Linked DNA regions of Elephas maximus indicus. The protein of the gene in region 2 interacts with the protein of the main gene of each other region in a pairwise test. Links are inferred from orthologs where the notes say so. Each region holds a gene or a part of one and is shown on either strand. Other genes may lie near its edges. The genes, in order: TNNI2, TRIM63 and USP13.

Region 1 (2,863 bases), on a different chromosome or scaffold from region 2:
TCAGGCCTGCTCAGGCCCCACCGTGTGGGCTCAGTGCCTAGGCCTTCACTCCGTCTCAGGCCTCAGTGCCCAGGCCAGTAGGCAGACACAGAAACACGGTGGGTCTGGGGTGCGGAAAGGTTGGCCCAAAAAGGCTGGGGAAGGGGATGAGCAGGAGAGGGAAGTGCGTGTGGGGGCACACTTGGGGCAGCAGCCAGGGGCCCTGTGGCTCCTGGAGAAGGGGCAGCCTAGGGGTCGGGGGTCTGTCCTGCCCACATTGCATTGTGGGGCATGCTTGCCCGTCTCCTCCTGAGCTGGCTGTCCTCGAGTCTGGAGTCAGACAAAGTAAGTCCTAGGCCACTGCCCCCTCCTAGGCTGTAAAAGTGTCATGAGTGCCGGGGACTCATTCCTGGAGCCAGCCAGCAGCAGGGTGGGCTCCATCAGCCATACAGGACTTCCTGCCCTATCCTAGCCATACAACTGGCCCGCGTCCCTGATCACAGTGTCACAGAAGGTGGCACCCAGGAGGTGACAGCCTGACCCACCAGGTGGGCAGTAGACAAGAACGTGCTGCAGGAGGTGGCCAGCAGCTTGGGGACAGTGACTCAGGGCAGCACCAGACCAGACCAGTCATGGGGATGTGCAGCCTTTATTGACCAGTGAGATGGGCCCAGCTGGCTTGGGCTCTGCAGGTGGCCCTGCCAGGTGAGCGGCCTAGGACTCAGACTCAAACATCTTCTTCCGGCCTTCCATGCCTGACTTCTCCTCGATGTTTTTCCGCCAGTCACCCACGTCGCGCAGGTCCCGCTCCTGGAGTGGGGGACAGGCTCAGGTCCACCACCATGGGGCCCAGACCCTGTAAGCTGAATGGCTGGGCCTTCCCTCCCTGCTCCCAGGGTGGGCAAGGACACAGCAGTGCTGGGGCACCCGGGGTGGGGTGGGTGTACCTTCTCGGTGTCCTCCTTCTTGACCTGCTTCAGGTTGGCCCTCAGGTCCATGCACACCTTGTGCTTGGAGCCCAGCAGGGCCTTGAGCATGGCGTCAGCCGACATGCGCACCCGCCGCAGTGGGGGCCGCTTGAACTTGCCCCTCAGGTCAAACAGCTTCTGGTTCATGTCTTCCAGCTGCAGAGGGGAGCCCAGTGAGCACCCAAGGGGGCACTCAGCCCCCACTTGCCCCCACAGCCTCTCCCTTCTGGCCCGGGTCTGGTGTCTGCACCCCAGCCCGCAGCCCCTCACCTCCTTGGTGCTCTTCTGCACCTTCATCTCCATGTCATACTTCTCCTCCTCGGCCGCGTCCACCTTGGCATGCAGCTGCTTGCAGAGCTCCTGGGGGTGGGATCCTCAGTCACCATGTCACCCGCTTCCCGCCCCGGCCTCTGTCCCCAGACCACCCCTACAGGGCTCTGCCTGCTTGACAAGTGGGGAAACTGAGGCAGCATCTGGGCGGTACCTGCACTTCGGCCATGGAGCCGGGGAGGTACAGGGGTGGACAGTGCTCGTTCAGGTAGGCCTGCTTCTCCGCCTCGCGACGACCCTCTTCCTTCTCCAGCTCTGTGGCCGCAATCTGAAGCATGACGCTCTGCCGGCAGCCGGGTGGTGAGGGACTGCAGCTGGCCATGGGGGCCCCACCGCCCTCTGCATGGGCCCTACCATCCTCCACTGACCCCACTGTCCCCCACAGACCCCACTGCCCCCCACAGACCCCCATTGCCCCCCGCAGACCCCACTGCCCCCAGCAGACCCTGCCACCCTCGGGACTGCCGCTTGTACCTTCAGGTGCTGCCTCCGGGCCGTGATGGCCCTGTTGCGTTTCTGCAGGGCAGGGGAGAGGGAGCCGGGTGAGGGCGGCCGAGGCCTAGCACCCCCCACCCCCTACATCCCCCCTCTGAGCCAGGGGGTTCTGTGCAGAGGAGTGGGTGTCTCCCAAAGCTGAGCTCAGGGACACAGTGCAGTGTGGAGATGGCATTGTTCCCAGGGAGCAGTCCAGCTCCTAAAGGCAGGGGCAGAGGAGAAATGGCCCAGCAGCAGGGGCGGGGGACGCTGCAGGCCGGGGGGTGGGGGGGGGGAGGCAGTCAGAAAGGAGAAGCAACCCCCTCCATGGGACCAGGCCGCAGCCCCACTTCCCCTGACCGTCAGGCACCGGGTACCACTTCCTCTGTTTTATCAGTGCTGTCCTGGGGGGCTGTGGGATGGGGCATTTTCACGGCAGGGGTCGGGAGCCGGCTGGGCATCTACCCTGGGCTTGAACTTCTGACCTCTGACCCATCCCCAGTGGGGGTCCATCCCCTCCATGTGTTACCCCCCCCAAGCAAGTACTCACCTCCTCACTGTCCCAGGGGAGGGGGGAGAGAGAAGAGAGAGGTTAGGGTCACGGTCATGGCTGGTGGGGGGCAGAGCTGGGGTGGTGGGGAAGGGGCTAAGTGGTGGTGAGGTGGGTGGGGGCAGCTGCTGGGGGGGCATGTGGGAGAGGGCAGGTGGCAGCAGGCTGGGGACACGACTTACTCCCCCATCCTGAAGTCCTGAGCTTAAAGCCTGTGGGAGGGAAAGGACAGGTGTCAGGTCACCGCCCCCTAGAGGCAGCAGGGTGCGGCACCACAGGGCACCCTGGCCCCTCCACCCGCCCAGCCTCCACCTCCTGGAAGGGAGTTGTTGTCTTGGAATTCCCCAGGGTGGGGGTTAGAGAAGAGAGTGTCCAGGGTAAGGTCCGGAGGAGCTGCAGCTGTCCCCGGGGGAGGGGGAGGCACCGGACTGGCCAGCGCAGGTGGTGGCTTGGCCACTCGGCTATTTTTACCCCTGCTTTTTTGGCTTCTGGCCGAAGTGCATGAGAGCCGCTCCTCAGCTTGGTTTGGGGGTGTAGCTCCGGGGGTCCCTCGACCCGTAAA
Region 2 (3,748 bases):
ACACATAAAACAAAAACCAGACTCATCGTCATCAAGTCAGTACCGACTCATAGCAACTCTATAAAAAAAACTCTATAGGACAGTACAACTGCCCCACAGGGTTTCCAAGGCTGTAAATCTTTACGGAAGCAGGCTGGTGGGTTCAAGCCACCAACCTTTTGGTTAGCAGCCAACTGCTTAACCACTGTGCCACCAGGGCTCCTAGTACCCTACACATAAAAAAAAAAAGTAGGTACTTAATAAATATTTGGTATTTTTTTAATCATCGATATCCTATTTCACAATCACAATAACGGATCTCACTGTCCCCTTCTGTAGACGAGGGAAATGAAGGCCCAAAGGCCAGTGCCTGAGTGCATTAGTAACAGATTCAGACAGAAAGGCCAGGGCTCTTTCTCAGCAGGCCTGGTCTGCCACCCTCCCTCCAGCAGGGCATTACCAGTAGCAGGTGCTCAGTAAAGGTTTTGGACCATAAGGGCTGTGGGATCAGGCTCCTGGAAGTCTTGTCGGGATGTCCTGACTGTATGTAAAGCTCTCTCCGGTTTGAAGCCTGACGCTGTGTAACTTCTACCACTCACAAATTCTGCCTGAGACTGAGCTGCTCTTTCATAAACAGATTTGGAACTAGATCAACTGTGTCTCCTTCTAGATCACCTACTTCCACAACCTTGGGTAAATGGATTCACCTCTCTGAACCTCAGCTTCCTCATCTGTGAAATGGGGATAATAAAAGTTGTGGCCGATCCATAGGATTGTTAAGAGGTGCCAAGAAGAAGCATCCCAGTGCTGGTGCCTGCTGACCCACGGCGGGTAACTACTGGCCAAATTCTCCCTGGGTGCTTTCTCTTTTCAGGGCCGCTTAGCTGGTCGGGGTGCCTCTCTCTCCCCCTCCCGTCTTATCTTTCCCTTGCTTTCTGTCTCAGCATCTCCCAGAAGGGCAGCCTGCTGTCTGGACTCCTCCTTATTCACTGACTGATACTGAGAGCCAGGGTTGGGGCGTATGTTCCTCAGGCAGAAGGAAATGGCTCTCTGGACTGCTGGGAGGCCGGATCCTGAGCGGAAGTAGGAAGAGAAGGACAGCCGGGGAGAGCTGGTACAGAATGGCAGAGGTGGGAGGATCAGCTGACCTGGAACACTCCTGCTTGTAGATGTCGATGATGTTCTCCACCAGCAGGTTCCTCTGCAGGCCGTACACTCCATGCCGGTCCATGATCACCTCGTGGCGACAGGAGGGGCAGCGGAAACGGCCACCAGACATTGACACCGAGCCACTCCGGTTGGTCCAGTAGGGATTTGCAGCCTGCAGATGGCAAGGGCAGAGGTGGGGCCTGGGATCCCTGGCCAGCCCTTTCCCTTTCTAATCTCCTGTTAGCCGTCCCCACCCCTGCCTACACCAACCATTCTTGTCGAACCATATGACCTGCCAGAGGCCTAACTAAGGTATGGTAGGTAGGGCAGTGCCCTGGGCACCACCTGAGGAGGGGTGCTAACGAGCAGTTTTGATTCCACTGGCCACCTGAGGAAGGGTGCTAACGAGCAGTTTTGATTCCACTGGCCACCTGAGGAAGGGTGCTAACGAAGGGTGCTAACGAGCAGTTTTGATTCCACTGGCCATCCGCCATTGCAGTTTCCATCGCCAGCTGTGAGAGATCATTCAACAATTTAAGGCTAATTGCCATAGGCACTGTTTTCCACAGATAGGCCCCTGCGTGGAGCTCCCCATTCTGACATGAGAACCAGCCCATTTTACACATGGAGCACCTGAGAAGCAACTAAGCAATCAATAACCACACAAGATAATATACCTGCTTTAAGAATCGGTGAACCTGGGTTCAAGTTACATTTATTCGATAAATGACTTCGAATAAACAAACAAAAAAAAAAACCCAAACCCATTGCTGTTGTCACTTGCAACTCAGCAACCCTTTAGGACAGAGTAGAACTGCCCCACAGGGTTTCCAAGGAGCACCTGGTGGATTCGAACTACTGACCTCTTTTGGTTAGTAGCCATAGCTCTTTAACCACTACACCACCAGGATTTCCATGTGACTTTGAACAAGTAACCTTATCTAAGCCTCAGTATGCCCCTTCATGAAATGGACATTATAATTAGAGCAAGCTCCTAGGGTTGCTACTTTGAAGATAAAACAGTGAAAGAGCGTTTATGTAAAGTGCTCCTGGGGAAACTTGATCCCCGCTTCCCAGCCAGAAGGTCCACTCTGGTTCCTTTCTTAGGGCGGTTGGGCACCCCCACCCCTCCACAGGATTACAGGGACCAACCTCAAAAGGGAAGATGCCTCTACTGTCCAGTACCTCCCCACCACCCTCCTCCCAAAGCTCTGGGCCCCCTGCCACAGTAGAGCTGGCTCCAGCCCCAGGGGTCTGGTTTCTCTCTCCTTTCCGCTTGCCTCCCCTACTTATCTCTTGAGGCATTTGACTCTTGATCGGAAAGTCAACTGCCTTGCTTAGGGCAGGGGTGGGGGAGCTGTAGGCCTGATGGAGAGGGGAAACGTGCGTCATGGAGAAGGACTGGAGTGGCCAGAGCAGCCTCCCTCGCACCCCTCAGCTGAGTCCTCAGGCCTCTGCACGGGGGCGCGGGGGGGACTCATTTTGCAGGGGACAGAGCCAGCAGCAGTTTGGAAAGGTCCTGGGCTAGGTGAGAAGGGTTTTACTAGACCATGCCGGGCACTGACCTGGAAGATGTCATTGGCACACTTCCGGCAGAGGTTGTGCTGACACGGCAAGATGACCACTGGCTTGGTAAACATCTCCAGGCAGATGGGGCAGATGAGCTGCTTCTCCAAGTTCTCCATGGGGTTCCCAACCTGGATCAGACTGGATTTATAATCCATATTGTCGGTAGGTATAGGCCTACCTGGCTGCCTCCTTCGCCTGCACCTAACTATGGGCAGACCTGGGGCTCTTGCCTTTGTCACAAAACACCCGCACAGAGCCTCTTTGCCTCCTTCTTCTGGCGCCCGAATTCTGTCTTGGGCTGAGGCCCCTCTGATATTTATAGCTGGACCCTGGTCACATGAGCCCCGGGAGGGAACCAGCTGAGCATTCCGATGCCAGTTGGCTGCCGGGGTTTGAGTTTCCTCCAGGCCTGGAAGACTCACCCTCTCAAATCACACGTGGGGATGAGCAATCGCTGTTCTCCCAGGATGGGGGTCGTAAACAAGAACAGCCTGTTCGGAGGCAGGCCGCAGGGGGGAATGGGTACTCAGAATTGTCTCCAGAAATTGTTTCTCCCCCCGACCCCCGGCTGGGGAGGCAGGGCTGGGACTCATCCAGCGAACCATTAGGATTCAAGGGGTTAATAGCCAGTGCCCCCTCAAAGACAGGAGAGAAACCCTCTGACCTAAATCAAGTCCTTTCCCCTCAGGGCTTTGAACCTGATCTGTCCCTTTTGAACTCCTGCTGAGAATTTGCACTTCTAACAAGCCCCTCCCCCACCCAGTTATACATAAGAATCACCTGGGGATCTTGCTAAACTATAGATTCTGGTTCAGTGTATCTGGGGTGGAAAAGCAAATCCTCAGCAGAGAACTTGTTAGAAATGCAAATTCTCAATAGGTGTTCAAACCCCAAGTTGGAAGCCCTGTTTCTCTTCTCTGGAGTCCTGGGCACCTCCCAAGATGTGGGGTAAGGGAGCCCCTCTTTCTGAGCCCATCCCTCTGCCTCGGACCTGAGCACAACATTTTGCAGGAGACCTTGGAGTCCCCATCCTCTATCCCTTGATAGGGAC
Region 3 (3,748 bases), on a different chromosome or scaffold from region 2:
TCACATCTACTTCCAGGGGCCGCCGTTTTCTCCCTAGCGAAAACGGGCAAGTTGGAGTCAGGGAGGGTAAGAGAGAAATAACATAACGAAAAAAAGGAATTTAAGGACTATTTGGTTGTGGTTTGTTTCACTTCATTTCTTGCTATTTCTGCGTTTCCTTAAACGTCAGGGATCATTGGGTGCTCTGACCTGTAAGTACCTCGGGGGCGATCAAGGAAACTCAGTGGAACGGAACTCATGTTTTAAGGGTATTTTGGAGGCAATAAGGGCGTGCTGTGAGGTGTGCTCTGTTCGCATCACCTCCCCCCTCCCCCAGCCCAACCCCATTTGTTATTTATTTTAAGGAACTGCAAGAACAAGACAGGAATATGTATGTCTGCACATAGGGTCCCTTTTGAATGTTCGAGACCGGCACCTTGAAACTCGCCCTAAATGTACCAGAAACCTTTATGATTGCACAATATACCTCTATCTTCACTGTAACTTACCCTATTCTGTCTGAGCTTTGGATGTTAAAAAAGTGAGGAAAAAGGCTTAGTGAGGCAACACCGAAGTGCAAAGGGCAAATTTAGATTTGGGCCTGATGTTAGGTTCCAGATTTGCACATGGAGTGCCACCTGGACCCAGTCCAGTGAAGGCACCGCTCTTATCTTAAAAGAACTGTTTTTTAAAAACCCCTAAATCCTGCTTTTTGTGTTGGCTGCATCGAATTGCCCCTTTACAACCGAACTGATAGGAACACCGTGGCCCCGCCACTCCGCAGCTGCCGGCGTGGGCAAGGAGCGCCCCCCATGGAGCCCTCCTTTTCCGGGGTCCTCGTCCCCGCCCCCGCCCCTCCCGGCTCCAGAACCCAGGACCCCGGGGCTCGCCCTCCGCCCCACGCCGCCGAGCCCGCCGGGGCACAAGGCCTCCCTCCGGAGCCTCTTCCCCGGCGAGCTGCGGCTGGCGCTCCCCAGCGCCCCGCCTGACGCTGCAGCTGGGCCGGCCATTCGCTATTGGATTAAAAATAGCAACGTCCCCCCGCCCGCCCCAGTCCCGGGGGCCCGCTCCCGCCCCGTGGCCCGCTCTGCGAGCCCCGGCTGGGCTCTTGTCGCCGCTCGCCCGCCGCCGGCCACCCCGCGCTTCGGTTCCGCTGCGCTCGGGCTCGCCCCGCGGCCATGCAGCGCCGGGGCGCCCTTTTCAGCGTGCCGGGCGGCAGAGGCAGCAGGAAGATGGCTGCAGGAGACATCGGCGAGCTGCTGGTGCCCCACATGCCCACGATCCGAGTGCCCAGGTCCGGGGACAGGGTCTACAAGAATGAGTGCGCCTTCTCCTACGACTCCCCCGTAAGTGAGGCGCGGCAGCCGGCGCCTGGGGGAGGGTCGCGGTGCGGGCGGCCTGTGGCGCCCGCGAACCGCGGAGCTCGGCGGCACATGAAGCCGGGGGCAAAGATGCGCAGCGGCCGCGGGGACCTCCTCCTCCGGGCGGCGGAGTTGGCTCAGGGGCGCTGCAGTTGGGAAAATAGTGAACGCCTACTGGTGCCTGGCGCTGCGTTCTCCAAGGCTGCTGCAGCCCAAGACTGGGGCGCGAGAGTGGTTCGCTCCGCCAGCCTCTCTGGGCTGAAAGGGCCCCAGTTCCCAGCAGCCAGCCCACAGCCCCGCCATCGTTTGAAAGACCGAATCTAAGAGTTTCCTGCGCTTAACTGCACGTTGCAGATGGTTTGCTTCCTCCCCGGGGCGAGAGGGAGAGCGGGGGGCGGGTCGGTGGAGGCGATAGATTCCACCGGGCTCACAGCCCTTCCTGTTTCTGTGACCGCTTGCTTTGCCCAGGGATTCCCACTCCTGGACGTGCCAGATAACGCCCTCAGCTTTTCTTCCTCCACGTCCCATGTTCTCCCCACTCCTTTCCTTCCCGTCAGAATGTCAGAAGAAACTGTCGGGTGCTTCCACTCAGGCAGCAGAAATATGGGTCTGCTGGATTATTAAGGTTTTCTTAAGCCTTTCCCCTTCCACCTCAAAATGAGTCACTTGGATACGCTAGTATAAATTATTAAAAGTTCAATTCCAAGTCGTGACCTCAGAGACTGGAGGGGAAAGATAAGACCGATCAGCGCCTTCCACACAGGGCTGTTGGGGGTGGTTTCCACCTGGTTTGTGTGTGTGTGTGTGTGTGTGAAGGAGACAGAGGATGAATGCCCCTTTCAGGAGTCAAAATGGGCTTCAAAGTGACTCAGCTGTCTGGCGTTTATCATGTCTTTTTGAGGACCGGGTTATTTTTATCCACACACTTCAGAGCTCATGTGTCATGGAGCAGATCTCAGTGCTTTGGGAGGTGTGTTGATTGCAGGGACAGGCAGATTTCACAATAGACAAACACATTTTATTCATATTCTGTAGAGTAGTGTTGGGGGGTGACATAGGGGCTGCAAATTATCCAAAGCAAACTTTATTACCTTGTGGGCTGTTTTCAAAGCATTTTGTGTTTTGTTGAGATTACACGCGCGTGCACACACACACCCCTTGCGGTCGAGTCGGTTGGGACTCATAGCGACCCTCTAGGACAGAGTAAAACTGCCCCATAGAGTTTCCAAGGAGCGCCTGGTGGATTCGAACTGCTGACGTTTTGGTTAACAGCCTTAGCACTTAAGCACTATGCCACCAGATTAGAGTCCCAAAATTAGTATCTTCGCTGTGATATTTAGGTTTTTTTTTTTTTTTTTTGTCAGCCCCGGATCATTTTGGAGATAAAAATCTACTGTTTGTTGATTACTTTTTTCTTCCAAAAAGATTCATGTAGAGTGGAGTGAAATGGTTGTATTTAATCTAGTGATGATACTACTTAAAGCTACTGCGAGCAGTGCCATTAAGTCCTGTTATTCCCAATTATTCGAAAATGCCAATTTCAGATTTTGTGTCTAGTGTTGGGAATGGTTCCCACTGATTGCTCCTGAGAGTGAAGCGCGATGATGGTCCTAATTTAAGCAGCTGAGAGGTTGTGAACTCCAGGAATAGGGAGAAAAGCGGCCCAAGTCTCTTAGGATGGCACAACACGTGGAATTGGAAAAACGGCTTTCTCCGTATTTATTTTGGGTTGCTCTTCGTGTTCTACTTACCAACTTTGTTATCAGAAATCTTAACCACATTATAGACTGTATGGGAGGTTTGAAAAAAACTGGTTATTTTAATTCAATCCCACAAATAGTTATTGGTAGCATACTGTGTGCTGAACACTATTTTAGAAACATCTTGTTAAGTGTAATATGTTGATTCCATTCAAATCACATTAGTTCCTTTGGGGAGATTGGGTTTATTTACAAGGGCAGTATAATCATTATCTATGTTTCAGGGGAGGAAGAGGAGGAAGGTTTTGTAACAAGTTAGCTTAATGCACAGTGCCTGATAATGAGAGATCTTTCCTTATAAAATGCTTCATGAATCCAGTAAGGGTTTATGGAGCACCTACTGTGTGCCAACTCATACATGCATGAATATAAGAACCATACAGAGCAAAATCTTTAATCTATAACTACTTTGGAACTGTGGTAGAGAAAAAGCTAAAATCGATTGGAAAAAAAAAAAAACACTTCCTTGCATTGGATGCATTTGGAAAAGGTCATAGATAAAGGTGAAGTAAAGGAGACCAACATCCCAGCAGGAGAAATTACATGTGCAAACACATGAACTGTGAAAATTTTTTAATTTTTTTGCCTGTAATGTATTTGGAAGAAGACGCTAATTTGGCAAGTAAGAAGAAGTGAGTTCAGAACCAA

The links.
Region 1: the proteins of TRIM63 (region 2) and TNNI2 interact in a two-hybrid assay, tested with the Homo sapiens proteins (2 studies listed by BioGRID and IntAct). The link is inferred for Elephas maximus indicus from reciprocal best matches to the Homo sapiens genes TRIM63 and TNNI2.
Region 3: the proteins of TRIM63 (region 2) and USP13 interact in a two-hybrid assay, tested with the Homo sapiens proteins (2 studies listed by BioGRID and IntAct). The link is inferred for Elephas maximus indicus from reciprocal best matches to the Homo sapiens genes TRIM63 and USP13.

The regions. Positions count from the first base shown.
Region 1 is NC_064825.1:136,028,812-136,031,674, forward strand, and holds TNNI2 (troponin I, fast skeletal muscle), read right to left. Parts: upstream 1,963-2,863; 5' UTR 1,752-1,962; intron 1,561-1,751; 5' UTR 1,555-1,560; coding exon 1,432-1,554; intron 1,308-1,431; coding exon 1,218-1,307; intron 1,104-1,217; coding exon 927-1,103; intron 790-926; coding exon 694-789; 3' UTR 619-693; downstream 1-618. UniProt on the Homo sapiens protein: Troponin I is the inhibitory subunit of troponin, the thin filament regulatory complex which confers calcium-sensitivity to striated muscle actomyosin ATPase activity.
Region 2 is NC_064821.1:66,565,779-66,569,526, forward strand, and holds the start of TRIM63 (E3 ubiquitin-protein ligase TRIM63), read right to left. Parts: upstream 2,964-3,748; 5' UTR 2,853-2,963; coding exon 2,694-2,852; intron 1,301-2,693; coding exon 1,128-1,300; intron 1-1,127. UniProt on the Homo sapiens protein: E3 ubiquitin ligase. Mediates the ubiquitination and subsequent proteasomal degradation of CKM, GMEB1 and HIBADH.
Region 3 is NC_064819.1:35,279,991-35,283,738, reverse strand, and holds the start of USP13 (ubiquitin carboxyl-terminal hydrolase 13), read left to right. Parts: upstream 1-873; 5' UTR 874-1,157; coding exon 1,158-1,325; intron 1,326-3,748. UniProt on the Homo sapiens protein: Deubiquitinase that mediates deubiquitination of target proteins such as BECN1, MITF, SKP2 and USP10 and is involved in various processes such as autophagy, endoplasmic reticulum-associated degradation (ERAD), cell cycle progression or DNA damage response.